Cricetulus griseus: one gene and its partners. The protein of the gene in region 2 interacts with the protein of the main gene of each other region in a pairwise test. Links are inferred from orthologs where the notes say so. Each region holds a gene or a part of one and is shown on either strand. Other genes may lie near its edges.

Region 1 (4,145 bases), on a different chromosome or scaffold from region 2:
GAGGTAGGCAGGAGTATCAAGAGTTCAAACTAATCCTCACCTACCTGGTGAGTTTAAGCTAGGCTACACGAGACCTCTTGTCACACTGCCACTCCTCTCCAACAAATTAAACATTAAATCTGCAGGCATCAACATCAGCAAATCTCATCAACTGGGTGAACAAGACACATAGTATAATTAAGTTACATAAAACAACACTTACAGATCGATACATTGTATTTCAAGCACACGTAGGAAAGAATAAGGAAAGAACAGTTAGTTGCTAAAGTCCTTGTGAAAGACAAAGCAAGTCTAGGAGCCAAACTGATCACAGTGAAACATGTCCTGTCAGAGTGGAGCCACACACCTCTATCCCAAACCTGAGCCTGGTCAGGTCTGCAGAAAGGAGAGTTCAGACTTGAAGCTAAAAATGAAGGGATTTCTGGGAATGGTGGCCTACACCTTTAATCCCAGCACTGGTGAGGCACAGGCAGGTTTATCTGTGAGTTTGTGCATTCCTTCATGCTTGAGCCATCCTGGTCTACATACCCAGTTCCAAGCTCGCCAGGACTACACAGTGAGTGATGAGACCTATTTAAAAAAAAAAAAAAAAAAAAAAAAAAAAAGTACTAACCCAGGAGTGATAGCTCATGTCTGTAACCCTAGCATGTGGGAGGGCGGAGGCAGGACTGCCCATTTCAAGCGACCTGTTTTGAAAGCTCAGAGGGATGGAGGAGGGAAGAGACTGGCTAAAGCTGGCTGGGTACAGTATAGTCTAGGGGCAGAGTGTATGATTAGCACGCACAAGGCCCAGGGTTGGATTTCAGCACCACAGATAAACCAGACAGTTCCAGCATACAACCAAGCCAAACTTCCACCATGCTCAAAGTAGGGTGGAATATAAACTACAGCAATGAAAAGGACTCCACCCTTTCTTAGGCAGCTCCTAGAGAGCACTGAGATGATGGACTGGGGATATAAACTACTAGCCAAGCAAAGACAACACAGACTTTTGTACACCTCACCTTTGCTAGCCCACCATCTCTCATCAATCATATCATTCACATGCAAGTCTCTGGTTTCCTTTCTGACTTTCAAAAGTTCCATTGCATATAGTTCAACCTCACACATACCTAATATTTTCCTTACAACAGACCATCAAAAAGTCAGTCGGCCAACCTGAGGCTCTGACATCTAAAGGTTTCCACCCATACCACAGAGAGTCTCAACCTGGACTGCTGAATCAGCACTTCACCGGGCAGTTCCAGCCTGGAGCCAAGAGCTCCTACCTCCTCTGCCTGACTAATCTGAAATAGTGTTAACTTGAGCTGGAAGCCTCTGAAGCCACCTGGGCTGGTGAAGCACAAACACTAGCCCACCTTCCACCCCTAGCCCCTAGCAGTTGATCCCTACAGGCCTGGCTCACGTGCTTTTAAAGGAGCAGAGGTCATTTTCCTCCATGCTGCCTTTTTCCCAGCATGTCCTTTTTTGGGAGAAAAAGTTGGGAGGGCAAACAGTCTCACTCTATAGTCAGACTGCCCTGGAATTTATTATGTAGCCCAGGCTAGTTTCCAATGCACAGGGATCCTCCTGCTTCAGCCTTCCAAGTGCTGGCTCTGGTGTGTCTCTGGGAACTCTGGAGTTTTAGGTCACCATGGCCAGAACCTATGAGAAGCAATTCTCCCCCCGAACGGCTTCGAGGGAGGATGAGAGCACCTTCAGCAACGTTCTCCACATGCTACCCTTCTGAATCTGGCCTGATAACCCTAACCCTCGGCACTCGGACACCAAGTGTTAAGCTTCCTTTTGAACCGCACAATCTATTTCCCTTGCAAACGGGTGAGGGAATCTGGTCAGACGGAAGTAACGTGAGGGTGGGCTTAGTCCTTTACTCCAGACCCCTAGAGGACCAAGACCAAATCACCCGTCTCCTGGTCCGCAAGTCCTGCCGGTGCAGACCGACCCCACATCGCTTCCGGGCCAGCAAGACCCTCACTGAAGGAGCTTGTCCTGCATGTTCCTCCCCCCCTCCACATTCCCATCGTCTTGGCCACCCCCATGCAGAGAAAGGGAGTGCAGCCCCGAGCACCCCTATCCTCTACTGCACTCGCTTCTCTTCCTGTTTCTCGGTTTAACTCTTCGTGCAGGTTCCATCCCAGCCACCCACTGTTTTCTGTTTCTGTTTTCAATAGGACCGGTCTTTTAGGGTGCCAGGGACTGCGTGGGCTTATGTGTGGTAAGTTGCCGGGGCAGATTCTTTAGACTAAGACACAAACCTTCACTAGATGCAGGTCGATACTCGCTCTGAGCACCACTAAGACCCGGAGCTTGCAAGCTGGAAGGAGAGCCAGGGCCGAACCCTTCCCTGCAGGCTCCTCCCTCAGAGCTCCCCGAAGTCCCCAGCTCCGCCTTTGGAGTGCGCCAAGGCCACCGGAGGGACGCCGACCCGCGCGAGGTCCCCAGGCCCGGCCCTAAGTGCGTGCAGGCCGCCGGGGCTGTTCGCCTGCAGCGGCCGGACTCAGGAATCCTCTCCCCGCGGACCGCGACCATTCTCGGCGCGTAGCATCCAGGGCCGAGGAATAACCGCGCCTGCGCCTTGGGCGAGCGAGGGGCCTTTCGCCACTGCCCGTTCCCCGTCCCCAGCCAAGGTGACTTCCGTCGCGGAACCAAAGCGCCCCGGGCACACTTACCGAGCGCAGCGCTACAGCCTGGGCCTGCAGCCGCCGAGCCGAACCGAGCCGCTCCTGGCCTCTGGAGCGCACCACTAAGTACCCTTGCAGCTCCGCCCGCTACTGGGCTGATTCGCCACGTGACCCATCGGCCGCGCCCCCACCCCGCGACGTCGCCGGCCCCACCCCTTCGTCCTGGGACTCCCTAAACTGCTTATCCTAGGTCCATATCGCGCAGCTGGATTCCGGAAGAAGCCGATAGTCTGTGTTATCTCTTCACCGGACCGGAGATGCTCTCCAGGGAACCCGCGAGAACCTTGCACCGGGAAGAAGTGACATCGCCTACTGCATTCATCGGAAAGGCCATGCGGAATCCGGGACCTGGAAATGGCTGGCGTCCCAATGGAGCACTCCTGGCCTCATGAAGCTCGCAGCACCCTGGTTTAGTGCTTAGCCTTAGGAATACTCAGACCAAGGAAGGTAATTAAAACTAGAACTGGACTGGGGCTGTAGCCCAGGGTAGAGCTCTTTCCTACCAAGCCCAAGGTCCTGGTAAAAAAAACAAAACAAAACAAAAACAAACCTTGAACTCTTGTCCAAGGCATGTTATGAAATTCCAAACTCCTGCCAGGCCATCAGTCCCATGTAGGAACCTTCCCCATTGGTAGGCTAGCCAACAAAAAATAGTCCTATTTGTTCTGACAAGGAATAGCATCGCCCCACCCCAGGGTCTCCTTCAGCCACCCTCAGATCTCTCCAATCCTTATGTCTACCAAGTAATAGGAATGCCCCATGACATCATTCTTTTTTAAAATATGGAATGCTTCATGAATTTGCATGTCATCCTTGTGCAGGGGCCATTCAAATCTCTGTACCATTCCAATTTTAGTATATGTGCTGCCGAATCGAGCACAACATCATGGTATTTTATACCCAGGCTGTGACTATAAGAAAGCCACGCGTCAAGGCTCTGCTGGTAGTCTCCAAGTTAAAGACAGGAGTGGAAGTATGGTTACTGAACTCCAGGTGAGTGGGATGGCCGAGGAACTCAGGAAACTTGTGGGAAAGGTAGGAAAGAAAGCTGTCCCAACTGCTGATAACAGGTGAAAGCTGGCTAGGCAGTTTAGTTTTGGTAAAAAGCCCAAATAAAAAAGTCTTTCTTGGCTAAAAGCCAAAAATGTCCTGGGGCATGTCCAGATCCTTATCCTTGCCAGAGGCTAGGGATGCTTGAAATGTCCAAGCCAAAAGTGTCTCTGGTTTTACTGTGGCCAGAGGCTGGAGACGCCAAGAAGAGGCTCTCCACCTTTTTTTTTTCCCCCAAAGGCATACCTCTTTCCTGGAAACCATATTGAGGGCAAAATTCAATGACCTCAACACCTGGAATGAAAACTGGGCTGACCAGCCCATCTTCTGCCCTTCCTCCGTCCACTAAAGCCCCATTAACCCCCAGGCAGTGAAGCTCAATGCAATCCCACTAGGACCCTTCTGCTGCCCAGG
Region 2 (4,039 bases):
GTCCTAGGTTGCTGGCTTTCTGATCCACTACCCAACTTTGAATCAATAGTTCTGAGTGATGTTTCCTAACACCCAGGCTGAATTCAAGGTCAGTCTTTTGGCAGGTCACAGCCTTTTCGTCTTGGGAGACAATGAAATGTCCTCTGTTGGGGGCTCCTGGCCTCATGTAGCATGGGGCTCCGTGGTGATCTGTGGCTTTTTACACAAGTCCTGGTAGAATTCTGACTCCAAGAAGCGAGGGTAAGAATTGTTCTCCATCAAGCTGTATACCCTCTTCTGGGCTGTTGTAAAACAGCCACTTGTAGCCTCTTGGATATTTTGGGCAATCAGCGTTTTTGTTTGAAAGTCTATGTTTATCTGAAACCAAAAATAAAACAAAGCTTGATTTATTTGGTATCCAACATTATAAATCAATGCTTAATAACAAAACACAAAAGATGTAATATGTGATCAGTTCTCACTGTCAGATTGGAAAAACTGAAATGCTAGGATAGCTGGGGTGGGGAGCCCCAGCTCTTCCCACTGGCACTTTAACTGGTGTATCCAATTCTTGTGCTTCACTATGGGGTTGAAGATGTCCAAATTATGCTGACACCAATAACTTGTTTTCTTACCTCTTTGGGAGCTTCCTTTTCTATGAAGTCAGTATATATTTTTCTTGCTTTGGAGGACAGTTTTTGGGGTGACTTGGTTTTTTTGAAGTCTTCACAAGCCAACCAGAATTCAATATTTTCTTCACAGAACTCAGATTTTAAAAACGCCCTGAATGCAGCAAGCCCATCTGAAAGCACAGGAAAACAAGCATGTAGAATGTAAATTGAGTGACCAGATAACACATGGTTCTTTTAGTACTAGAATGATCGATCAGCTTTCTAGATTTCACTCAAACCTGTCATTCTCACACTTTAGCTCTTTAAGCACTAAGATGCCAGCAGGCAAAATGCTTAACTTTGCATTCTGCAACGACGACAACAAAATATACTGAACTTCACCGTCAATGCAAAATAAATATTTAGAGGACAGTCATCCATTAGTTCTCTGGGAACTAGGGCTTTTGAAAATATTCTATGCAATGGAAAAGCTGACTCAACCCTAACTATGAGTAAGTCGTTTTAATTTTTAGGCTAATTTTTCTTCCTAACTTTCACAAGTTAGGCTAACTTTATTCCTGAAGTGAATACCTCATGCTTTTCCATGATTAAACTGGAGGACGAGGGGAAAGAAAAGCAGGCTTTATGAAGTAAATGGTGCTAATGTCTGATGCACTTCCTGCTAGCTGCTCATTTGTGGTGTAGACACAACATTTCTAGGCTCTTGGGATGCTGGTGAAAGATCAAATTCAAGAGGTTAACTTACATTTACTGGCCAGCAGTTCATCGAATGCTTCTGCCCAGAGCAGCGCTTCCTCAGGAGAAGGCCTGCAAGAGAAGTTCCGAACATGAGCTATATAAACCACACATAATAGTTCCCCTCTCCTGTTCAATGGCTAGACATTCTGTTCTGCAAGTACAGGAGTTGCAACTTACTTGATAAAAGTTTGCTGTTTGCTTTTCTTGCCAGTTTTGGGTTTCCCAGGAGTGGAGGAATTTTGCAAGAAGTAGCTCAAACGGGTCTTCCAATCCTTCAAGCTAGAAAAGAAAAAAGGAGAGGAAAAAAATACTTCAAGCTGCAATTCTTGAATAGTGAAATTATCACCAGTTGCAGTAGCATATGGTCAGTCACCAAACAAACCAGACAGGCAAGAACAGTCCATGCCATATGTGGGATATTTAAACCCAGCACCTCATGGATTGAACCCAGCATAGGACTACATAACACAGCTAGGATATTTAAAATTTTCACAAGTTATTTCTGACCTACGAAAAAGGTAGCGGTTTTTCTGCATGGTTAACTACAACTTGGAGACAATTAATGATTGAGAACTGCCGTGTGTTGAGCCAGCTGATGTTCCTTCCCTTTCTGTGCTAGAGGCAGGAGGGTCTGGTCCAAGATACAGGCGGTGCATAGAGGGGTGTGTGTGTGTGGTGTGTGTGTGTGGGGTGTGTGTGTGTGTGTGGTGTGTGGTGTGTGAGTGTGTGTGTGTGTGTGTGTGTGTGTGTGTGTGTGTGTGTGTGTGTCCCGAGCTCCCCCTCCGCGACCTCCCACAGTGCTTCTCCGCAGCAGATACTGCAGAGCAAATTACTCATTCCACAGTCGTGACTGGATGAGACCTATTTTATGATTTAAAACCGTATCTAAAGCGAATACATTCGGAATCATCCCAAACATTACCCAGCAGCTGTGTAAGCAGCTCAGACCTCACAATGCAATGTATGGGCGCTGCGGATCCTATTCAGCTGCAGAATACTCATGTCACCTTACATGCAGAACAAAAAGCCAGCCATCGCCTTCTCAGCCCAGCTACCGCCGCCACCTTCCTAACAACTTCCCATAGTTGAAACTCTACGCTCACACAGAAAAAAGCACAACCACGAGATCTAGCAAGCTGACTTTTCCTTCTTTCTTCCCCCCGCCCCCCCGCTTTCTCTGCAGAGGTGCAGACCGGAGTTAGCTCAAGTCAAAGCCGAGATGGAAGGAAGGTCGGTCCCGAGCAGCAAAGCCATGCGGGGTAAGAGCTCTCAGGAAGAGAGGGCATACTCACAGCGTCCGCTTCATTTTCTCCCGCTTCTCCTCGACCTTGGGGCCGTTGCCTGCGCTCTTGTCCATGGGTACGCAGTCGTGCTGGACAGCCAGGAACATGGCACTTTGCATACTAAGACTCCGGCGGCCACCGCAGCTGTTTGCAGCCGGGCGCGCGCCGCGGTCTTTTAAGGCCGGCTGCGGAACAGGGGCGGGGCCCGGAGGCGTCGGCTCCGCCTTTCGAGGGTGCGGATTGGCCCGCTGCAGACGGCGCGAGGGAGGGGTCGCACGGGCCTGCGGCAGTCACGGCGGCAGCCGAAGGGTCTGGAAGCCAGGGCGCTGCTGACGTAGGTGCCGCAGCCTCGTGCGCACACAGGCGGGGAGGCGGAGGGCGGGGACAGCGCGGGATCCCTGCTCGCTTGTTCGGGTGGCCCCAGCCGTGCAGGGTTCCCGAGTTCGTGACTTTTCCTTAAGGCCGTACCTTTTCCTTTCCTTTTATCTTTTTTCGAGCCCCGCCTTTGCAACTCATGCTTTGTTCACGATCTTTTAGATGCACCGGGACACCTATACACTGCAGCGGGCAGGGGGAGAGCCCTACCGCCCCACCCACACTCCACCTATTTCGGGGAAGGACTTAAACAACTAGAGAAACCCGAAACAAGGGCTTCTGAGCTAAGTACTGTGATTCTCTGTTCGCTCAGGCATCTTGGAATTCCTTATGGGAACGCACGCTGGTCAGGGAGGAAGAAGGAGAAAGTGCCTATTAAAACCCGGTGTTTTAAATGATTCTGCATTTTTGATCTTTAAACGCCTGGCTGCAGAAGGCTGTGACGTTGCAGGGTCATTCCCCAGGAGATCTGAAGGGCGTCTCTAGGCGGGCACGGCACAGATCTGAGTGATAGAGAGAAACACAAAGGGAAACCCGAGATCTTGCGGTTCTGATACACTCGGATCGTTTGTAGTTTCCGAGTGTAAGGAATCAGGATTTCCTAATGAGTCATTCTTAGTTGGGCAGGCTTAGAATTTGCCAGATATTCACCTGCTTAAATTAAGGGGTGGGGGTGTGAGGCTAGAGCTGGATGTGAGAGTCGGGAGGTGTAAAGTTTGCTTGGACAAGCTTCATTTGTCAGTTCTTCAGAAACCCATCTCTACTCCCGCAGGTTTTAAAATGCCCTGATCTGTAAGAACAAATACATGACTTCAACTACAAACTGATTCAGCTTCCTATGTTACGGGAGTGATGCGGCGGAATACCTAAGTGGTTTTCCCATGAAGTCAGGGCAGATAGATTAACAACGAAGTTATGGTCATTCTGCTTCACACTAGACCTTACTAAAAGAAAAATAGAGGCACATTCCTCAAACTGGAACGAGGCAATACATTGCTACAAGCTGCGGGTAGCTGAGCTCCAGGTTTGAAT
Region 3 (3,500 bases), on a different chromosome or scaffold from region 2:
TTACTACCCTGCCTGGGATTCCCATCCAGTTGGGAGCACACTGGGGGCCTGGCTAGTAGTCCCAAAGTCAGCCAGTTCCCCGGAGCTATCTTCTCCCTGCAGAGGGAATCCTTTATCCAAAGTGACACAGAAGTCCAAACGCAGTGGTCCAACCTAGTCAGGCCTTCTTTCCTTGTACCAACCCCCGCCCTCCAATACTTAGTAACCACAAGGCTCAGGTGCACTGGTGTGTGTTGAACCGACATTTCTCACCTGCCTTGGGGGTATACAGTAGGTGGCAACTAGGCTATGAATTTCTGTGTTGCTAGTCACTATGTGTATAGGGTGGGGTGCCAAGCCACTGAAGCCTGGGAAGATGTAGGGCTCTGGGTCAAGCCACCTTGACATCTAATAGCTGAAAGGGGCATCAGGTGGGCACTCACCTGTCAGCCATCTGTGGGATGATGTAATGCCCATTCTTGTGATCTGAACAAAAATAAAAATGCCAAGTCACTGATGCCAGGTGGCGCCAGCACCCAGGAGCTTACCTCACTACCATGAGCAGGGTTTGACACCTGGAAGTGTCAGAGGAAATGGAGGAGGGCAGGATACCCCAAGAGCATTGAAAACTGGCTGCAAGTCAGGCCCACCCCCACTCCTTGGCCCCAACATGCTTGCAGCAACCCAGAGCCTGCAGCAATTTCACAGGAGCCAGTTGCCTAGCAACACAGTTCCCCAGCTGGCTTTGTCACTATGGCACCTGCTCCTGGGTGTGCCTAGGTCCCACCTGCCTGGCCTAGTCAGGCCCAACTCATTCTCTGCTCACCGGGCTTGCGTCCACAGAGGTAGAAGGCCAACCGGTCAGTGAGCTCATACTGGCACTCAACTAGCCTTTCTGCCAGTTCATGGTGCCCCGCCTGCCTGTGGGGAGGGACATGGCTCAGCCCTACAGCAACAGTCCATTCCTCTCCACCTAAGCCTCACCCTTTAACTGATTCTCACCTGGCATAGTCGATTGGCGTGCGGCCATTGACATCAGGGGAGCCGGGGTCAGCCCCATACACCACCAGCAGTTCAGCCTGCAGTGTCTGCCCCGCCTTGGCAGCCACATGTAGAGGTGTAGTGCCCTTTTCTGGGTGAAAGAAGTTGGCCTGGGCACCCAGGGAAAGCAGGCGAAGACATGTCTCCAAGTTGCCTGTTCGCACACTGGAGTGCAGTTGCTGCAAGGAGCAGTGTGTGGTTAAGTGGGAGTGAGTGTGATGGATACTTGTGAGTGTCCGAGGAACCTCCCCCACACACCTGGCTGTTCCTGGTACTCCTACCAGCTCCAAGGGGCCTCGACAAAACTGGGCCATGTCAGGCAGGCTAGAGGGTAATGTCATTAACAGTTACTCCCAGTCACTACCCTTCATGTGCTCTGCTTGGAACACACAGAAACTAGAGGCAGGTGTGTTACTACTATCCCATTTCACTGATGAGGAAATAAAGGCTCCGAACAGCTAAGCGAGTACCCCAAGTTTTCCTAGCTTCAAGTCGTAGACGGGAGGCCCTATGTCTGTCCACGTGAGAGTGGAGGTATCTTAGCCACCAGCTGCATGACAGAGCAAACTTCCCTAGCCCCAGGGTGTCTGCACCTACTTTTTTCCCCAGCCCTGGGTTGCCTCTGGGACTTGAATATGGAAAGAGGGGTGGCCCACCCATCTGTTGAGGGGCTCCTCACACCTTGCTGAGGTCTTTGGCAGTGACGCCATCATCATCGCGGCAGGGAAGCTTGTGCACAAACGCCAGCATTTGGTACTTGGCCCTGATGAACTCTGATTTGATGGGGCTGCATGGAACACACAGGAGGCCATGGGAGCGGAGCTTAGGACAACCACCATTCAGGCCCCTGTCCCAGAAACACGGCCCTGCCCACCACCCCTGCAGCCCCACTCACTGGACTTTGTCTTGGGGGTTGGCTTTACGCCGGCCACTTTGCACTTGTGCAGGGTCCAGCAGGGAGTGCTCCCAGATGGAGTTGGCCCCGTTGCTGGCAAGCGTGTGCACCATCTGTGGGGAAGAGATGCCAAGCAAAAGAGTGCCCACTCTGTGCTGGGCACTAGGGGAGACATTCCCAGAGTGCCTGCTGCAGCTGGAGATACCACCAAAGGTCCTACTGTGTGCCTGCTATGGCTGCCCTCTATCCAGTCAGGCCACCCAAAGTCATGTGTCCTGTGTTTAGCACTTCATGCTGGCTTACCCTGGTGGGTTTGCCAAGGTTCAGAGAGTTTCAGCAACTTGCTCAATGCACTGTCTAAGATAAGCATCCAAGCTAATGAATAGACACTACAGGGGAAGGGGTGAGTGGAAAGGTTGAGGGTCATACTACTTTAAGTGGCTACTGTCTGACAGGAAGAGGGTTGGGGATACCTGGGCACTGCACACTGGGAAGGAGTCTCTGGTTTAATCCCCTACCTGTAGCAGTGTAGGAGGCCAGGCGCTGTGGCGAAGGTGCTTGACAATGGAGATGTGTCGTCCCAGGCTCCGATGCACACTGCAGCACTCGTCACAGACCAGCACACCTCTGCTGATAGATGCCCAGCCAGGATCTGGGGGAGCAGAGTAGGAAAGTCAGCTGAAGCCACAGGACAGGCACTACTTCCTAAGCAGCTGCTCTGGCCTGGCATATGCTTAGTGCTTCAGGTACATTCACTCAATCTGCTCAGGAGCCCAGAAGCTGGCTACGAGCCCTTTCCTGTAAGTCCTTGCACCTTCCTGGGTATGCATGGTCCCCAAGGATTCTCAGTGGGTACAGTGTCCTGTCTCACAGCCACTGCTACCAGTTTCACAGCCTCTCCTCAGGAATCAAGACTGCTGCCTAGCCATTCCACAGGGAGGCAGAAGTCTCCTATGGGATATGACCCTGACGCCGTGTATCACACAGTCCTGGGTATGTTCCTGTTGGACCCCATCCGACAGACTGGTTCCTACCCCTACTCTGACACAGTTGGAGTTTCCAGCTTCATGCCACCATCAACTGTGGGCTGCAGCCTTAAGGACAGACTGAGCAATGGAACTAACCTTGGCTGAGGTTTCACTATTTACTGGCCAAGTATTTTGCTCACAATTCCTTTCACAAGTGCTATCTTGCTCTACTGATGAGGATTCAGTGGCTCAGAGAGGTCAAAGGGCTTGCTCAAGGTCACACAGCTAATAAGCACAGCTGCTGGGATGCTGGAGGCAGGTACTTCAATGCCAGACCAGGCCAAGCCTAAACTTGCTGCCCTCTGCCCCTGCAGTCTCAGGACCAGCCTGGGAAGCCATTCTCCAGTGAGGACAAGTGGGTAGGAGCTCCTGGTCCTCAAGGGTAGTAGAGATGCTACCACCCCAAGCCCCTCTGGAGAAGGGGAGGAGAAAGCACACACAGCTCAGGCCACAGAAAGGAAAGGTCATGGGGGAGAAAGCGGCCATTGTGTGCTGTCCAGAGTGGGGGCAGGGAGCTGCTCTCCCAGGACACTCTGCTCTGCCCAGGCCCCCACCCA
Region 4 (4,182 bases), on a different chromosome or scaffold from region 2:
CAGGCATGTGCTGCCAACCACTGTAGGCAGACTTTTCTTTCCTACTTGCCAGTTCCCAAATAACTAACATAGAAACTCAATATTAACTATAAATGCTCAGCCGATAGCTCAGGCTTATTACTAACTAACTCTTACAATTTAAATTAACCCATTTTTATCAATTTACATTCTGCCATGTGGCATTACCTCTCTTTCATCTTGTACCTCCTGTTTTCTCTGTGTCTCACTGGCGACACCTCTGACTCTGCCCTTCTTCTTCCCAATGTCCTTACTCTGGTTTTCCTGCCTAACCTTATCCTGTCTAGCTATTGGCCAGTCTAGCTTCTTTATTAAACCAATCACAGTTTAATTTACATAGAGCACAGAAGGATTATTCCATAGAAAACTGCCTGGCTAAATAATTTTTTTTTGCATTTAAAAAAAAATTCAAGGAGGGTGGTGCATGCCTTTAATCCAGCACTTTGGTGACAGAGGCAGGTGGATCTCAGTGACTTTGAGGCCAGCCTGGTATACAAAGTAAGTTCCAGGACAGCCAGGACTGTTACTCAGAGAAACCCTGCCTTGAAAAACCATTAAAACCAAACCAAACCAACCAACCAACCAACCAAACAAACAAACAAACAAAACAAAACAAAACAAAAAACAAAACCAAGGGCTAGAGAGATGGCTCAGCGGTTAAAGAGCACTGGCTGCTCTTCCAGAGGTCCTGAGTTCAACTCCCAGCAACTAACCATATGATGGCTGACAACCATTTATAATGAGATCTGGTGCCCTCTTTTGGCCTGCAGGCATACATGCAGGCAGAACACTGTAGAGTTAATAAACAAATCTTTAAAAAAAGAAACTAAACGAAACAAAACAATACAAAACAAAAAATCCAAGGGGAAAAAGAATCACAGTTTGTCTTAGTTACTTTTCTAACTATATTCCTGCAATGAGACCCACGATTAAGGCAACTTTTAGAAGAGTTCCAGAAGGTTGGAGTCCATGACCATCATGGTGGAGCAGCAGTTAAGGCAGAGCATTTGCCTAGCCACGAGTGAAATCCTGGGTTCCACCCCCTAGTGCCCTAGTAGGAAGGGAACTGACAGGCACACATAATTTGTATACAATTTTGGGGGTATGCAGACCCTCTTTAGTTTGTCCTCCGAATGTTCAGGACTTATTGTTCGACGCCCGCATTTACCTAGGTGAATTCTGAGGTACAGAGTGGGGAAAGGGCTGTTCAAGGGAACGGAGCCAGTTAACTGCAGAGGTCCGGGAGCGCAGAGATGTGGACACAGATTTTTCGTCTAAGGATTTGGAGGACTCCCATCTGGCTGTGCTTGAAAGGAAGGCTGGCGGGGCGAAGGCGTGGTTTTCTCTAGCTCCGCCACCTTGCACTGGGCTGGGGCGTGGCCTTCCTCCGACCTGCTCCGGTCCAACATGGCTCCGCGGTTGTGCATCATCTCTGCATCGGCACGGCGGCTGCTGGGGAAGCCGGGACCCCGCGCTGGGGACCTCGCTGCTGCGGCTGCTGTGCGGTGAGAGGCCGACGGGGCCGACCGCGTGTCCGGAACAGGGGCGGGGAGGGGGCTGGGATGAAGAGCAGGCTCTTGGGTTTGGAATTCAGGGGTTAGTGGAGGAGCTGCCAGGATGTAGGCCTGAGGAGTCTGAGAAAGGATGAGGGAGGTGAAAAGATCTGGGTAGGATTTTGTTTTTTAAACAGGCTCACACTGTAAGTGATTCAAACTCGGAATTCCCTTTCTTCGACCTCCTAGATATTACTGGCGTGCATACCCATGCCTTGCTGGGCAGGTTCTTTGTCCTATTTGGGACCTGGGTCTGGGCTGAGAATAAAAAATGAGGTGAGTGGGAGGGACAGGTTTTAAGCACTGGAGCGGGGGAGAAGGCAGAGGACAGAGGTAGCTGCCCTCAGGTCTGGCCTTTGTGATTTAGCGCGCACTGGGGGCTTTCAAGGCCAGGCAGCTCCTCCCTCAGGAAGTTCTAGGAGGAAGGAGAGAAAGACTGGGGTACAGAGGGAATTCCCAAGGTGATTCCTCACCCTGCACTGTATTGTGGGGTCAACAGAAGGGGTGAGAGTTGTTCAAGGTCAGCCTCCAAGCCATGTGGAGGCTGCTCTGGATGTAGGACCCAGGTCTCATGATGCACCTTGCACTTTGCACCACCGCTGGTGGCCTCCTAGGAGAGAGGCTCAGCTCTGGCTGTGGAGGGCTTGGCTTCCCCTGACTGGCTCTGGGCTGCTCCTCCCTCCTGCAGTGCCTTGTGCTACCCCTGTCTCTGCACTGGTCACCCTGAGCACTTCTGACCCTGTGCTAACCTGTCCTTCCCTAGTCGTTCTCCTGTTTGCACAGCCCCACACCCTCACTGGTTTGAGAACATTGTAAGTTCAAAGAGCATTTGCTAAAGAAGTGAGACCACCTGTTCTCACACCTGTGGAAAGGAATCTGTACTCCTCCTGCCTCTGCCCAGGAGTGAAGCCTTAGGGTCCGTTTAGATCACTGTGAACTGGGACTTTTGGAAAGCTGAGATATCGGAGTTGGACATATGCCCTTCACCTCCATGCTTGATAAAGAGGGAGAAGCTGACACTGGGAAATGAGCCTGGAGTGTACCTTTTAAACAGCCTTTTGTGGAGGGATGGCCTTGGGTAGGAGGAAAGAGGATGTGTCAGATAGGATTGTTCTGTGTTGCTAGGAAAAGAATCCAGGAGCTCAGGTATGCTAGGCTAGTGCTCTTCCTACCAATTAAACCATAATACCTCCAGACCTCATTGGATTGTTGAGGATTGAAGAAGCCATGCTTGTGTTACCAATTGCCCAAGACTATGCCTCAAGCAGTTTCTGTCATTGTGAGAGTCGAAAGGGTATCCAGGAAAATAATATTTTATTACATTAAAAAATTAGTTTGAGCCGGGCAGTGGTGGTGCATGCCTTTAATTCCAGCACTGGGGCAGCAGAGGCAGGTGGATCTCTGAGTTGGAGGCCAGCCCGGTTTATGGACAGTTAGGACTACATAGAGAGACCACGTCGCTCAAAAATAAACAAAAAATTATTTGGGAGGTTAGAGAGATGACTCTACAATGGTTGCTCTTTCTGAGCACTTGGGTCACAGCTCACACACATGACCACTTACAGTTGTCTGCAACTCTACTTCCAGGGGACCTGATGCCCTCTTCTGGCCTTCACAGGTGCCAGGTGTGCAAGTGGTGCTTGCGCACACACACACACACACACACACACACACACACAGGCAAAACACCCACACATAACATAATTTTAAAATTATTTTGTGTGCATATGCAAATGAACACTGGTATTCGAGTGCGTGTGTGTGTGTGTGTGTGTGTGTGTGTGTGTGTGTGTGTGTGTGTGTGTCCATGTGCCCATACTATGACACGTATGGAGATCACTGTGTGGCTTCCAGGCATCTAACTCAGGTTGTCAGTCTTGGTAGCAGGTGCCTTTACATCTCACTAAATCAAGATCATCTATGTTTTTTCTTTAAGGAGATTTACTTTTATTTATGTTTGTGTAGAAGGGAGAGAGAATGAAAATGTGCACATATATGCAGGTGCCCACTGAGGCCAGAGAAAGGAGTTAAATCCTTTGGCAGTTGTGAGCTGCTCTACTGATATGGTCTTGGAAACCAAACTTGGGCCCTCTACAAGAACAGCAAGTTCTCTTTTTTATTATTATTTTTCATATATTTGAGTTACAAACAAGATTGAATTACATGACAATCCCAGTTCCCTTCTCCCTCCCTTCCTCTTCTACAACCCCCCCAACTAAAATCCTTCCTATAATATGTCCTTTCTTCTAATCTTCACCTGACTCCACCTTTCTGCTTCCTCATGACCTCTGCATCCTTCCTCTTCTTCCCTTCTCATTCTCGTAGCTCCCTCCCCCCTCTTCCCATGTTCAGTGCGTTCTCTGGACACACCAAGTGTGTCCAGCCTACAGATCATCTCCCCCTCCTTCCCATTGCTTTGGAGGCTGTCCTGGAACTCTGTAGACTGCCTCTGCCTCCAGAGTGCTGGGATTAAAGGCGTGGGCCACCACTGCCTGGCACAAGATCATCTTTTAGGAGACCATGTTTTCCAGATGAATGAAGATACTAAGGCTGAGAAAGGAACAGTCAGTGGGTGGTAGGATCTTTTATGTGGCAAACACCCAGAGGTCAC
Region 5 (4,063 bases), on a different chromosome or scaffold from region 2:
GGAGGAGGGGTTGGTTAGTTGGAGGGATTTTTGTTGGTCTCACTATGTAGCCTGGGTGGGCCTGGAACTAGCTATATAGACCAGAACAGCCTTGAACTCATGGGGTGCCACCTGCCTCTCCTTGAGTGCTGGGATGAAAATCATGTTCCTCTATAGCAGGATGGCCGATTTTTTGAGACAAGGTCTCAACTAGTTCAAGTCTCCAAACTCACTATGATGCCAAGGGAGGCTGACCTTTAACCCTTGATCCTGCTGCCTCCACCTTTCAGGTGTGTGATTACAGGTGTGTGTCACACACCCTGAGGTGACAAATAAAGCTAGATCTCAGCATTTAGTGAGTTGCCACCTCTAGACACCTGTTTAATACTAAATGGCAGGCAATGTGAATCCCACTCAGGCCCTGGGGTGCAGGATCCCCAGAGAACTGCCCCTCCCAAACCCACATGGGTGACTAAGCCAGAGGGAAGCCAAGAGCAGGTGGGGACAGGTGGGACTGGGGTGGGGAGAGCAGCAAGAAGGGCAAGGCCATTTCTCCACTTTCTCACGCATTCTACTGTGACCTGTCCCTATGGTGCCACTGGGGTCTGGACACACCTCCATCCTTCTCAGCCAGTCAGTTCCAGGCCAGCCGGGCGTGGCTGGGAGAAGGTGCTGGGCAGGAATTCCAGGCCAGAAGGGGACCCTAGGAGCGTTGCTCATTGGGCGGTGACTTGTCTCTTGGCACAACCCGGCAACCACCGAGCGTGGCTGGTCTGGTAGGTTGGGCGTCAGGCTGGCTCCCTGTGGCGGGGCAGCTTAACAGAGCATGCTCGTAGGCACGGCCCAGGGAGCACCGATAGGATGACTCAGTGGGCTACATAAGCGCACCTGTCCTCTGGGGGCTCGGCTCTCCCCTCACCCAGGAAAAGACAGATCCTTCCCTACGAGAAGATACTTTTTCGGAAAGTCAGGGCCCTTTCTGTTTCAGATGGGGAATCAAAACCCCAAGGCGGCGCACAGAGCTGAGTCTCCCCAACCCGCGCCCCCTGCCTCCTGTGCTTCCCCACCTCGTCCCTACCTCTCATCGCTCTCCGGGGCCGACTCAAGCGTCCGGCCCCGGCTTGGGGCCTCCTCGGCGGCGGGACGCGGGAGGGGAGCGCAGGCGCCGGCGGGGCTCGGGTGTCGGGAGGCGGCTCCCGCGAGCAGCTGTCGGAGGCCTGTTCCGGGGAGAGGAGCCAGCGCGGGGCCGGATCGCCCCAGGCGCCGCCTCCCCGCGCCTGTCCCCGCCCGTCCTCCCGCCCGGCGCCCGCGCCCCACGCCCGCGCCGCCCCTCGTTTCTCTCCTAGCGCGCGGAGCCCGCCCCGCATGTTACCCCAGCCTCCCCTAGGTGATCCGCACGCCCATCCCCCGCCGCCCCGAGGCTACGGTACAGTAGGGGACCGGTTGCAGCCCTCCCAGGACCCCCAAGCGGTGGCCCCGCGAGGAGATGGCGCGTTCCCTCCTCCCCCTTTTCTGGGCTCGGGTCCTGGAGAGAGGGAGAGAAGCACGGAGGAGCAGCCCCAGGGCACGCAGGAAGCAGCGGGTTCCCACAGGCCCAGCTCGGGAGCGAGAGCTAGGCCTGTGGGAACCGGGCTCACCTGTCTAGCCAGCCCCGCTTGGCTCTCACTCCTCCCCACTTTGCTACATTTTGGCACAGGCCCGCTCCCCGGCTCCCAACCTAGATTACTCCCGAGCCTGAGGACGGGCCACACTCTTTTATTCTCTACTTTTTTCTGTCCCCTTCCTCTAGAACCCCTCCCCAACTGCAGCTCCCTTCTCTTCTCTCAGGAGCCCTGAGGTCCACACTCCCAGCTCTGGGTCCCCCTGGGCTCCCTGCTCCATCCAGACTCGCTCTGGAGTCCTCCTCAGGCAAGCCTTCTTCAGTTCCCAGCCAGCTCAGTCCCTGGTGGGAGCCGCAGAATCTGGTTTCTGGCAAGGAGAGACGCAAAATGGAGCCAGGACGCGGTGGGGGTGGAGGAGAAAGATAGAGAGGCGCCCTGGAAATCACAAGCCGCCCAAAAAGACGGGAACGCAAGACCCAGGGACGTAAGAAAACAACGAACAGAGCTGCTAAGCCACGGAAGGGAGAGATGGTGGAGGCGGGGGGGGGGCGGGGCGACCGCCGAGCTTGTGTGGGAGGTGTTCTGTCCCCATTCAGCACCACCTGTCAGCCCTACCTCTCTCCACACCCCCACACCTGCCAAGTCCCCGGACAATGTCAGGTCACAGTAAAGTCTCCAGCAACCTCGCCGGTCTCACCACCCTGTTGCACCTCCCAACTGACTCAAAACTCACACCCAAAAGCATTTCCAAAGAGTGTAAAGAAAAAACAGACAAGAACAGAAAAAGCTACCAGGAAGATAAGCGGCCACTAGGGAGAAGCCAAGGCAGGCTGGGTCTCCAGTTTACAAACCCAGGGACGCTCCAGCTGCTGAAGGACCTGCTAATAGCCCCCATGGTCACTGGAAGAATTGCCTCCAGCCTGTCCACCGAGCCCTTAGGGACCCCCCCCCCCACCCGCCCGCAATTACCTACCCCTCTGCAGACAGCAATAGGAAATCTGGGCCCTGCAGAGACTGGGCGGGGTGTGGAGTCCGCCTGGAGGTGGGGCCAAGGCTTCCCAGTAACCTCACCTGCAACGGCACACAGCCCCTCCTCCCAGGAGAGATGCTCCGGGGAAGCCCCGGACAGGCGGAGCTTCAACTCCTCACACCCCGTTGGGACATTGCACGCCCTAGACTCGCACTGACTAGTGAAGGGTCCATGGGAGATGTGGAGGAAGCCAGAGTCTTGAAGCCTCTGCCCCCTTTTCACTCTCCCAGGGAAAATTCCTAGTCGGTGATGCCCACCTCGCCCCAGACCAGGGCTGGAGAAGTAGGAGGGACACGGGGCTGGGGCCCAGCGGAGTCAAGTGACAACAGAAAAGGAGCTGGAGCCGGCTGGAATGTGCTGCTTGGAGCCCAGATTCCCAGGGGCCAGAGAGGGAAATCCCAGCCATTCAGGGGCCTACAGAGCTGAGCCAAGAACCGAGAGTGTGCCGGTCTGTGGCTCCCCGAGCCCCCTGCTCCTTTCTCTCACCACTCACAACTCCAGAAGCCCCCATTATACCCTAGAACCCTGGAGGGTATAGAACTGGACCGTTTTTTCCCCCTGCAAGCCCAGGAAGAGGGGAAACAGCTGGGGCGGGGGGGGGGATGTGAAGAGAGGCACGCAGGAGAAACAGGCCTGCAGACCACCCGCCACTGCAGGGAAGCAGGGCAGGAGGAGTGAAAGGAGGGTGGACCAGATGGGCCCACCCTCGCTGCCCTCGACACACACTAGCCACAGTCCTTGCCCTGAGATGCAGCTGCCTCTGGGGAAGTAGGTTGGGTCAGCAGCTGGGGAGAGTGGGACGCCTCTGGTGCGTGTGTGTGTGTGTGGGGGGGGGTGACGGGTAGGGAGCTGGAAAAGACCCTGGTCATAGTTCAAATGGGAAACTGAGGCCTGTAGTGTGATGACAAAAAAAGGAAGATAATTCTAGGACATCCAAAACATAAATCTAGGACAGAAAAATTAGACACATTAGCCGTGGATAGTCTGGGAGAGGGACCCAGAAGGGATGGAGAACCAGGGGAGAGAGGCTGGTGGTCACGGAGAGACACAACTGACTCCAGGGAGAGGAGTCAGACAGATGGCACCAAAGTGATAGGTGGAGGCACAGGGAGGAGAAAGGATTGAATGGAGCGGGGAGCGGACACAGAAGGAAAGCAAACGTTTGGGACGGCAACTGGAATGGAGGAAACAGAGAGTGGGGAGGTTGGAATGAAACTAAGATATGGGGAGGGTAGAGACCGAGACATGGAGTTTGAAAGGGAGGAGGAAAGGAGGGAGGAAGAAAGAAAGAAGATGGGGGGCAGACTTAGAAAGGAAAGACAACCACAAGATTGATGGAAGGCCCAGAGATAGAATTGAGCCCATCTCCAGGCTGCTGGCCACCAAAGCCCCGCCTGCCTGCCAGCTGGCCAACCTGTTTTGGCACAAGGCTTCCATCCTTCTCCCTCCTACC
Region 6 (4,036 bases), on a different chromosome or scaffold from region 2:
GTGGTCCTGAGTTATGTAAGAAAGCAGACAAAACACACCATGGAGAGGAAGCCAGGAAGCAACACTATTCCATGGCCTCTGTTTCAGTCCCTTCATCCTGGTTCCTGCCTTGAATTCCTTATCTGACTTCCTTCATTGATGGTCTGTGACCTTAGAGGTATAAAATAAACCCTTTCCTCCCCAAATTGCTTTTGGTCAGAGTGGGGCTTTTTGTTTGGTTTTGGTTTTGGTGGTCATAGTGTTTTTTGTTTTGTTTTGCTGTTCTTGCTTTGGGACAAAGTTTCTCTGTGTAACTCTGGCTGGGTCTGAAACTCCCTCCATAGACCAGGCTGGCCTCAAACTCAGGCATCTACCTGCCTCTGCCTCCTAAGTGCTGGGATTAAAGGCGTGGCATGGCTTGGTCACAGTGTTTATCACAGTGATAGAAATCAAACTAGAACATTACATTTCTATTTTTCCCATGCTTTTTTGCTTTGTTTCTATAATCTATCCAATTGGAATAGTAGTATTGACATAAATAGAAATGTAACTATAAACACATGTGTTTTATGTGCCACAATGTTTAATTGATGGGATTCATGAACAGAGGCCTCTGGAGTGCAAGTGATGCGTTTAACCATGAACCCTGTGGGGTATTTGTTGTTTGGGACTGGGAATGGAACTCAGTGCCTCCCTCAGCTTAGCAAGTACTCTACCACAGAGCCACGCCCCCCAGCCCCTCACTGGGGGATTCTAGGCAGGGACTCTACCACAGAGCCACGCCCCCCAGCCCCTCACTGGGGGATTCTAGGCAGGGGCTCTACCACTGAGCCACGCCCCCAGCCCCTCACTGGGGGATCCTAGGCAGGGGCTCCACCACTGAGCCACACCCCCAGCCCCTCACTGGGGGATTCTAGGCAGGGGCTCTACCACTGAGCCACACCTCCAGCTCCTCACTGGGGAATTCTAGGCAGGGGCACTACCACTGAGCCATGCCCCCAGCTCCTCACTGGAGGGTTATAGGCAGGGGCTCTATCTTACTATAACTGGGATCCACCTCCAGCCCTCTTTTTTCCACTTTCTAAATTTTGAGACAGAGTGTCTCCAAACTGTCCAGGCCAGCCTTGTCCTTGCAATCCTCCTGCCTCGGCTTCCCAAAGGCTAGGATCTCAAGCCTGAAGCACCAGGCCCTACTCAGTTTTATAACTCCATTGCCCAGCCCTTCACTGGCTCATGTTGTGTTGCACAAACTTCTAAGCTCAAGAAAAACACAGCAGAGCAGAAAAGAAGGAGGTATCCACAGGCCTATCCAAAGCCGCATCTAAGCAAGGTCAAGGGGATGGACGAGCAGATGGGACAGAGGGCAGGATGCTAGGGCTGGAGAGGAGTTCCTGGGGCTTCAGTAGCGCACTCACCTGTAGACTAGAGAGTCATCCGCAGAGCTGTTGTATTGCACTTGGTACATGCGGATGCCAGGCACTGGCCTCTGGGCCGGCCAGCGAATGAGCACAGAGCTGGACGTGAGTTCGGCAGCCACAAGCCGGCGTTCAGTGGCTGAGTCGTTGGCACCAGGTCTGCCTGGTGTGGCGATGTCGGAAGAACCAGGCTCAGTGAGAGGCGGCGGAGCAGCCGGCGGGGGCGCCATGAGTGGCAGAGGTACCACGCAAACCTCCACCGGTGCAGTGGCTTCCCCCGCAGCATTGGAGGCTATGCAGGTGAAGGTACCGCTGTCCCTTAGGGTGGTGATGGTCACATCCAGCGTTCCGTCCCCACGGACCCGGGTCCGGCTGGAGTTCCCCAGCAGCCGCCCATCAGGTGCCACCCAGTGCACCACGGGCTCAGGGTCACCCACCGCCCGGCAGCGCAGACTGACAGCCTGGCCCTCCACTACCAGGGCCTTGCCCCCTGCCTGCCGCGTGATGAGCGGGGGCTCACATAGAAATTCCTCCTCCGGGATGGACCAGAAGTAGCGGTCAGTGAGATGCTCAGGAGTGGCGCATGTCTCCAAGTCATCCTCCCTGGTCAGACGCCGTAGCCAGAGCAGCTCGCAGTTGCAGTGCAGCGGATTGCCACCAAAGCTGACGGTCAGGGGGGTGGGCGGCTTGGGCCCCCCACCCTGGGACCTCAGGAAGAGCCCGTCGGGGGGCAGTTTATGCAGACGGTTAGAGGTCATGTCTAAGCGTACAAGTTTATGCAGCTGCACGAAGGTGCCCTCGGCAATGTGATCAATGAGGTTGTGGTCGAGCGTGAGGGTGTTCAGATTGACCATCTGACCCACCGCCTCCCACGGCAGTGCCTCCAGGTTGTTGTAGGACAGATCCAGGTCCTCCACAGTGGACAGAAAGGCGTCAAAAGCTGCCGACTCCACCTTCCGGATCTGATTGTTGCCGAGGATCAAGTGGCGGAGGTTACCCAAGCCCCGGAGCTGGTCCCCACGCACCTCTGCCAGGCGGTTGCTATCGAGGTGCAGGGCCCGGAGAGCACGGAGGTCAGCAAAGGCGCCGGGTGCCACCTGACCAATAGTGTTGCGAGACAGGGTGAGGTGGACCAGGCTGGTCATGTTGGCGAAGTCTCGACGACGCACAGCGGCAATGAAGTTGTCGGTGAGCCGCAGCTCGACCACACGCCTGTCGATGGCGGGCGGCACGAAGAGCAGGCCGGTCTTGGCACACAGCATGGTCAGCGTAGGTGCCACGTTCTGGCAGATGCAGCGACCAGGGCAGGGTTGGCCGCGAGATGCCCCTGCCCAGAGCAGCAGCAAAAAAGGGAGAGCAGCAGGTGGTGGCGAGAAGAGCCCAGAGGAGAAGGGGCCTGGAGCCATGGTGCAGCGGGGAGGCAGGAGAAGCAGGAGTTGAGACCTGGAGGGGAGGAAAATAGTCAACTATTATGGCTTGGTCCCCACCCCTGCAACCCAGGGATGTGCTGCTGAAAGTCAATTTGGATCCTTTAACTCCCAGTGAACGAGCTCTGGACAACAGACTTCAAAACAGCTGGCACCAACGGCCATCTTTTCCTTCTTTCCTTTCTTTCTTTCTTTCTTTCTTTCTTTCTTTCTTTCTTTCTTTCTTTCTTTCTCTTTCTTTCTTTCTTCTTTTTTTTTTTTGAGACAAGGTCTCACTATATAGCCTGGGCTGACCTGAACTCACTCTGTAAACCAGGTTAGCATCAAACTCACACAGATCAGCCTGCCTCTGCCTCGGGAGAGCTAGGATTAAAGGCCTGGGACACCACCTGGCCTTTCTTCTTCTGAGACAAAGTATCACTGTATCCCTGGTTGGCTTTGAATTCAGTATCCTCCTGTGTCTGCCTTTTAAATGCTAGGATTACAGATCTGGGCCAAAATACCCAGATCTGATTACAAAATTCCCATAGTAATTGGCAAATCACCCCTGCTGTTATTCTGAAGTCTTCTACCCTCCCACCTGTCAAGCTTCTAGGAGCTCCCCAATTGCCCATGACCTCCCAGCCCACCAGATATTCTGGAATCACTGTTGGCTGGAATTTAGGACCAAGGATGTCAAACACACACTCTTAGTTTGAATTCCAGCTATGACACTTACTAGCTGTGTGACCTTGGGCACGAGTCTGAACCTCTCTGAATCTCGGTTTCTTCATCTGTAAAATGGAGAGAAGAAACATGCTTTTGGTGAAGACTATGTACACTCATGAGCACAGCTTTTAGAACAGCATCTGCCACATACAATATTCGAAGTTTAACACATAATAAAAATTATTAGCTGCAACCCCAGTGGTGCCTAATACATTCTAAGTACAGAACTATGTGCATTATGGTAAGAGTGAGTGCTTTCATTTTTTGTTATTGTTGTTTTCCGAGACAGGGTTTCTCTGTGGCTTTGGATCCTGTTCTGGAATTAGCTCTTGTAGATCAGGTTGGTCTCGAACTCACAGAGAGCCTCGGCCTCTGCCTCTCGAGTGTTGGGATCAAAGGCGTGCACCACCACCGCCCAGCGAGTGCTTTCATTTTAAATATTATTAATATTGTGTATGAGAGGCAGGGTCAGAGGACAACTTGGTGGGACTGGTTCTTTCATTCCTC
Region 7 (4,217 bases), on a different chromosome or scaffold from region 2:
AGGAATGCTCCCTTTGTTTTACCTTCTAGGTAGGAGAAATAGAAAATCATAGTCCAGGAAATTCTATCCTAGAATGCAGTAAAGGGAATGTCATTGGCACAGCCATGGTCCTGACCAGCTGAGGAAGTATGAGCTCCTTTGAGAGCCCAGGGGAGATGATGTTGAAACACCAGAGAACCAACCCATTCTGCCAGGTGACACAGTTTTCCCTAGGAAGCTGTTTCAATCCAGGAGTAAGTTAGCAAAAGAGCCTCACCTGGTGGTACCCTGTGCATGTGACAAGCTTCTGTGACCCAGGGAGGAACTGTATATCCTGGTCCCAAATAGGAACCCGTAGATCCAGCCAATCATTCCTCACCTGGTGTGGAGGTACATATGGGATACAAGATGTTGGTAAGCTTGACCTGCTCCTTCAGTCCTCCACATCCCGAAAGCCCATCTAGGCCACAACCAGTCAGTGGCCTCCACTTCTCCCAACCTCAGACAAAGCATCCCCCTACCCCTTATCACTTACATTCTTTGCCCTGAACACAGGCTGCTCAGGCTTCTGTAGGTCCCATACTTTCAAAGCATTCTCTTTCCCACATGTGGCAACCACATGGCTATGTGCTGGGTCTTGGCGCATCCTACACACCCCAGGACCCACCTTCAGTTCCAAGAGCTGTAAATAATCAGAGATGAGTCAGTCCAAGAGTCCTTAACCTTCCACCTACCAAATTCCCCATTAGACCCCTACCCTGGCTCCCACCATCTCCAACCACTAGGGCAGTGAACCTTACTGGGTCAGATGATGCTTCCTTGTCATTGTCACACCAGACTCTAAGAATCCCAGAATCCACACATGTGATAAGGGTTCTGCAATCACAGGAGGGATTTTAAAATGTGTAAACCAGGTTTAGTGGTCCATACCTACCAGTAAAGGGCATGGAAGTAAAGTGGGGACCAGGAATTCAAAGTCAGACTGAGCTACATATTGAGTTCAAGGCTACCTTGAAACAAACAAACAGAAAAAACAAACCCAAACCAAAATGACATAAACCTCTTGCCAAGAAACCTAAACCTTTTCCCAGGCTCTGGATAGCCTGAACCTATGTTCTCCCTCACATCTGCCTATCTAGATTTAAGCTCTATATTGCCTGTGCTGTGCCAAAAAGCATTTTTAATACTCCTTACTCCTACAGGCTCAGAGTTCGCTCAGTCCATGGCACTTCCCTTTCAAAACCCAATATACTCTCCATTAACTATGAAATAAAATCTCAACTTGGTACAAAAGCCCTTTCCATTTAATCCTAACCAAATGCAAATCAAACTTACATGTATGTTTCCTTGACTTCAACTTCCAAACGCTATTTGTCCTATGTACAAAGCCTTTTTAGTCTTTTAACCCTTAGTCTCTGCTCAGTTAGTATCTGCTTTTTAGAATATCTTTATCTCTTCTCTATCAAGATTATTCCTGTACTTCAAGACCCAGTTCAAAACTCCATCCTCAGCCGGGCATTGGTGGCGCACACCTTTAATCCCAGCACTTGGGAGGCAGAGGCCGGCGGATCTCTGTGAGTTCAAGGCCAGCCTGGTCTACAGAGCGAGTGCCAGGATAGGCTCCAAAAGCTACACAGAGAAACCCTGTCCTGGGGAAAAAAAAAAAAAAACAACTCCATCTGCTGCATATCCTTTCTGGGTTCACTTGTTGAATTACCAAAGCAGCCTTCTCTCGTCTTCCATCTAGAGAAGCTGCTCCTAGGTTACTAATCTAGGTGAATCTTCCTTCTGAGCCATTACTTTAGAAGCTACACTTTTGTCAACCACTACTTAAAAGCATGCTCAAAAGTGTGGAATTACTTGCACAGAACGTTATAAAGGAGCCAGCGCCGAGCGGTGGTGGTACATGCCTTTAATCCCAGCACTCGGGAGGCAGAGGCAGGTGGATCTCTGTGAGTTCGAGACCAGCCTGGTCTACAAGAGCTAGTTCCAGGACAGCCTCCAAAGCCACAGAGAAACCGTGTCTCGAAAACCGACCCACACCTCCCCCCAAAAAAACAACAAAACTCTTGGAAGCAAACTCTATGAAGACCCATATTTTACCCAAATCCTTGTACTCTTCCTTGATACCTGGCATTCAGAAACTTCCAGATAAATGCATGTTATAGGAATGAAGGAAAGCAAGAACACTGTTTGCAATCAGTCTTCCCAGAGGCTAATCATCTAAGGGCTTAACTTCAGTATTCAGTTCGCCCAAGGGAGCCTCAACGATCTTCCTGTGACCTGAGCTAGAATAGTCCTTACCCATCGGCCTGGGCGAGACCTCGGAACGTGCCCTCCCCGCCTGGGCAGTGTCTCTGGCTCTGGAATGTACCCTCCTCGGTGTTAAAGTGCCTCACGGTCATGTCCGCGCAGCCCACCAAGATCTGCCAGCGAGAAGGAAAGGATAGGAGAAGAGCAAGGCTGCAGGGCCCGTTTCCTAGCTCGGGCCGGGGGCCACTCACCTGGGTCTCGTCACCCGCGCGCCAGCACAGAGCATTCACCGCCTCCTCCCGCCGCGGCTGTCCGGATGGCGTGAAGTTTGTTGCATGTCTCCGCTGAAGGTTCACCCCTAATGGAGGAGGACGTCAGTCACGCTGGGGTGACACGCAGTCCCTACACTTTCGGAGAACAACTCACTCACCTTTTAGGATCCCAGTATCGGTGCCGACCCACACATGGTTCCCTCGCGAAGAGGCGGCCGCCATCGCAGACTAGCCTATGGCTCGTACTTCCGGCGCGCCACCAACTGCATCATCAGGGGGCGCCGTATTCAATTTTGACAGCACGGAGCAGGTCTGTCTGTCTGTCTGTCTGTCTGTCTGTCTGTCTGTCTGTCTGTCTGTCTGTCTGTCTGGTGTGTGTCTGTCTCTCTGAGTCTGTCTGTCTGTGTGGTGTGTGTCTGTCTCTCTGAGTCAGTCTGTCTGTCTCTCCCGCTCTCTCGTTTCACGCCTTCCTATCTTCCTATACCCCCATTCCTCCCACTCCTTAATAAGGCCTTTCATCTTTCCTCTCAGCACTCCGGAGGCAAAAGGCAGGTGTATCTCTGTGGGTTCCAGGCCAGCTAGGGTTACACAGTGAGACCCTGTCTCAAAAACAAACAACAACAAAAAAATTAAAATGCGGAGGAGCACTGGTGTTATTAACCCTAAGATTTCACAATCTCTTTAGATACAGCTCAGGTCCGCTTATTTTTTTTAACCCATGAACCCACTTTGTAATCTAGGTGGGCCTTGATTTTATAGTCTTGACTCAGCCTCACAGTGGCTGAGAATTACAGGCTAGTTTCAAACATGCTCAGCTTGGACAGCGCCATTTCTGGAAGCTGAAATGTAGGAACCACTAAACTCTGCCAGCCCCACCTTGTTTTAGTTTTATGGAAACAAAGGAACAGTCCAGGAGTGTTTATGGAGAACTGAGAAGGAAGGATCATTTTGTGCTCTCTGAGAAAAGCCACCCTTTCTAAACTGCAATGCTGGCTGGGTGGAGTCTGCTCTCATTGGCCAAGTCTGGCAGCCCCCACCCTGTTTGAGGGGAAATTCCAAACACAAAAATTAACTGTGCCAGTTGGTGGTGGCACACGCCTTTAATCCCTGCACTCTGGAGGCAGAGGCAGGTGGATCTCTGAGGTCTAGGCCAGGCTGGTCTACAGAGATAGTTCTAGGACACCAGGGCTACACAGAGAAACCCTGCCTTGGAAAAAAAAAATGGATTAACAGTACAGGAGATTTAAGCATTGGAAACATTGAAGTGTGGCATCTGTGTTCAGTCAGAGCCTCCTGGAAGATTGCCTTTATCATTCATTCCCTCCCTCTGCTTCCTTCTGCCTGGATCCCCAACTTTGTTATTAGTTTGATATAACAAAGGGCTCATTCTGTAAACTATGCTGGGTCTCGAGGTCCTACTTCACTGCCTCTCCCTCCCCTGTGTTCTCATGGTTCAGCATTCTTTACAAGTAAAGTACTCTCAAAATAGACAAGTCCCTGCCACACTCTGAAACCCAAATTGAAGCGATTTTTTCCCAACAACTCGAAGCCTGCCTGTATGCAAGTGCTATCAAATCCTGGCTAAGAAAGATCTTTAGTCCCTATTTCCTCAGAAACTATGTTAATATAACTAAATTGGAAACCTAGTTCTAACCCTTAACCTGGGTTAGACATAAAGTCTTGTCATTGTGTCAAAGCCAGTTTTGAGGCTAA

What was found.
Region 1: the proteins of Rgs2 (region 2) and Ctsb interact in a two-hybrid assay, tested with the Homo sapiens proteins (2 studies listed by BioGRID and IntAct). The link is inferred for Cricetulus griseus from reciprocal best matches to the Homo sapiens genes RGS2 and CTSB.
Region 3: the proteins of Rgs2 (region 2) and Git1 interact in a two-hybrid assay, tested with the Homo sapiens proteins (2 studies listed by BioGRID and IntAct). The link is inferred for Cricetulus griseus from reciprocal best matches to the Homo sapiens genes RGS2 and GIT1.
Region 4: the proteins of Rgs2 (region 2) and Nipsnap1 interact in a two-hybrid assay, tested with the Homo sapiens proteins (2 studies listed by BioGRID and IntAct). The link is inferred for Cricetulus griseus from reciprocal best matches to the Homo sapiens genes RGS2 and NIPSNAP1.
Region 5: the proteins of Rgs2 (region 2) and Ddr1 interact in a two-hybrid assay, tested with the Homo sapiens proteins (2 studies listed by BioGRID and IntAct). The link is inferred for Cricetulus griseus from reciprocal best matches to the Homo sapiens genes RGS2 and DDR1.
Region 6: the proteins of Rgs2 (region 2) and Lrfn1 interact in a two-hybrid assay, tested with the Homo sapiens proteins (2 studies listed by BioGRID and IntAct). The link is inferred for Cricetulus griseus from reciprocal best matches to the Homo sapiens genes RGS2 and LRFN1.
Region 7: the proteins of Rgs2 (region 2) and Wdr74 interact in a two-hybrid assay, tested with the Homo sapiens proteins (2 studies listed by BioGRID and IntAct). The link is inferred for Cricetulus griseus from reciprocal best matches to the Homo sapiens genes RGS2 and WDR74.

Annotation. Positions count from the first base shown.
Region 1 is NW_023276807.1:218,157,996-218,162,140, reverse strand, and holds the start of Ctsb (cathepsin B), read right to left. Parts: upstream 2,801-4,145; 5' UTR 2,670-2,800; intron 1-2,669. UniProt on the Homo sapiens protein: Thiol protease which is believed to participate in intracellular degradation and turnover of proteins. Cleaves matrix extracellular phosphoglycoprotein MEPE. Involved in the solubilization of cross-linked TG/thyroglobulin in the thyroid follicle lumen.
Region 2 is NC_048598.1:46,447,474-46,451,512, reverse strand, and holds the start of Rgs2 (regulator of G-protein signaling 2), read right to left. Parts: upstream 2,801-4,039; 5' UTR 2,752-2,800; coding exon 2,642-2,751; intron 1,629-2,641; coding exon 1,527-1,628; intron 1,419-1,526; coding exon 1,357-1,418; intron 782-1,356; coding exon 615-781; intron 358-614; coding exon 163-357; 3' UTR 1-162. UniProt on the Homo sapiens protein: Regulates G protein-coupled receptor signaling cascades. Inhibits signal transduction by increasing the GTPase activity of G protein alpha subunits, thereby driving them into their inactive GDP-bound form.
Region 3 is NC_048600.1:90,901,566-90,905,065, reverse strand, and holds part of Git1 (ARF GTPase-activating protein GIT1), read right to left. Parts: intron 2,568-3,500; coding exon 2,434-2,567; intron 2,029-2,433; coding exon 1,916-2,028; intron 1,808-1,915; coding exon 1,702-1,807; intron 1,200-1,701; coding exon 982-1,199; intron 901-981; coding exon 806-900; intron 466-805; coding exon 423-465; intron 1-422. UniProt on the Homo sapiens protein: GTPase-activating protein for ADP ribosylation factor family members, including ARF1.
Region 4 is NW_023276807.1:100,030,907-100,035,088, reverse strand, and holds the start of Nipsnap1 (protein NipSnap homolog 1), read left to right. Parts: upstream 1-1,382; 5' UTR 1,383-1,425; coding exon 1,426-1,523; intron 1,524-4,182.
Region 5 is NW_023276806.1:229,602,478-229,606,540, forward strand, and holds the start of Ddr1 (epithelial discoidin domain-containing receptor 1), read right to left. Parts: upstream 2,801-4,063; 5' UTR 2,652-2,800; exon of another isoform or gene 2,554-2,651; intron 1,226-2,553; exon of another isoform or gene 1,058-1,225; intron 1-1,057. UniProt on the Homo sapiens protein: Tyrosine kinase that functions as a cell surface receptor for fibrillar collagen and regulates cell attachment to the extracellular matrix, remodeling of the extracellular matrix, cell migration, differentiation, survival and cell proliferation.
Region 6 is NC_048602.1:7,422,623-7,426,658, forward strand, and holds the start of Lrfn1 (leucine-rich repeat and fibronectin type III domain-containing protein 1), read right to left. Parts: upstream 2,801-4,036; coding exon 1,395-2,800; intron 1-1,394. UniProt on the Homo sapiens protein: Promotes neurite outgrowth in hippocampal neurons. Involved in the regulation and maintenance of excitatory synapses. Induces the clustering of excitatory postsynaptic proteins, including DLG4, DLGAP1, GRIA1 and GRIN1.
Region 7 is NC_048596.1:51,361,998-51,366,214, forward strand, and holds the start of Wdr74 (WD repeat-containing protein 74), read right to left. Parts: upstream 2,801-4,217; 5' UTR 2,727-2,800; coding exon 2,663-2,726; intron 2,591-2,662; coding exon 2,484-2,590; intron 2,406-2,483; coding exon 2,284-2,405; intron 856-2,283; coding exon 780-855; intron 662-779; coding exon 515-661; intron 359-514; coding exon 257-358; intron 1-256. UniProt on the Homo sapiens protein: Regulatory protein of the MTREX-exosome complex involved in the synthesis of the 60S ribosomal subunit. Participates in an early cleavage of the pre-rRNA processing pathway in cooperation with NVL.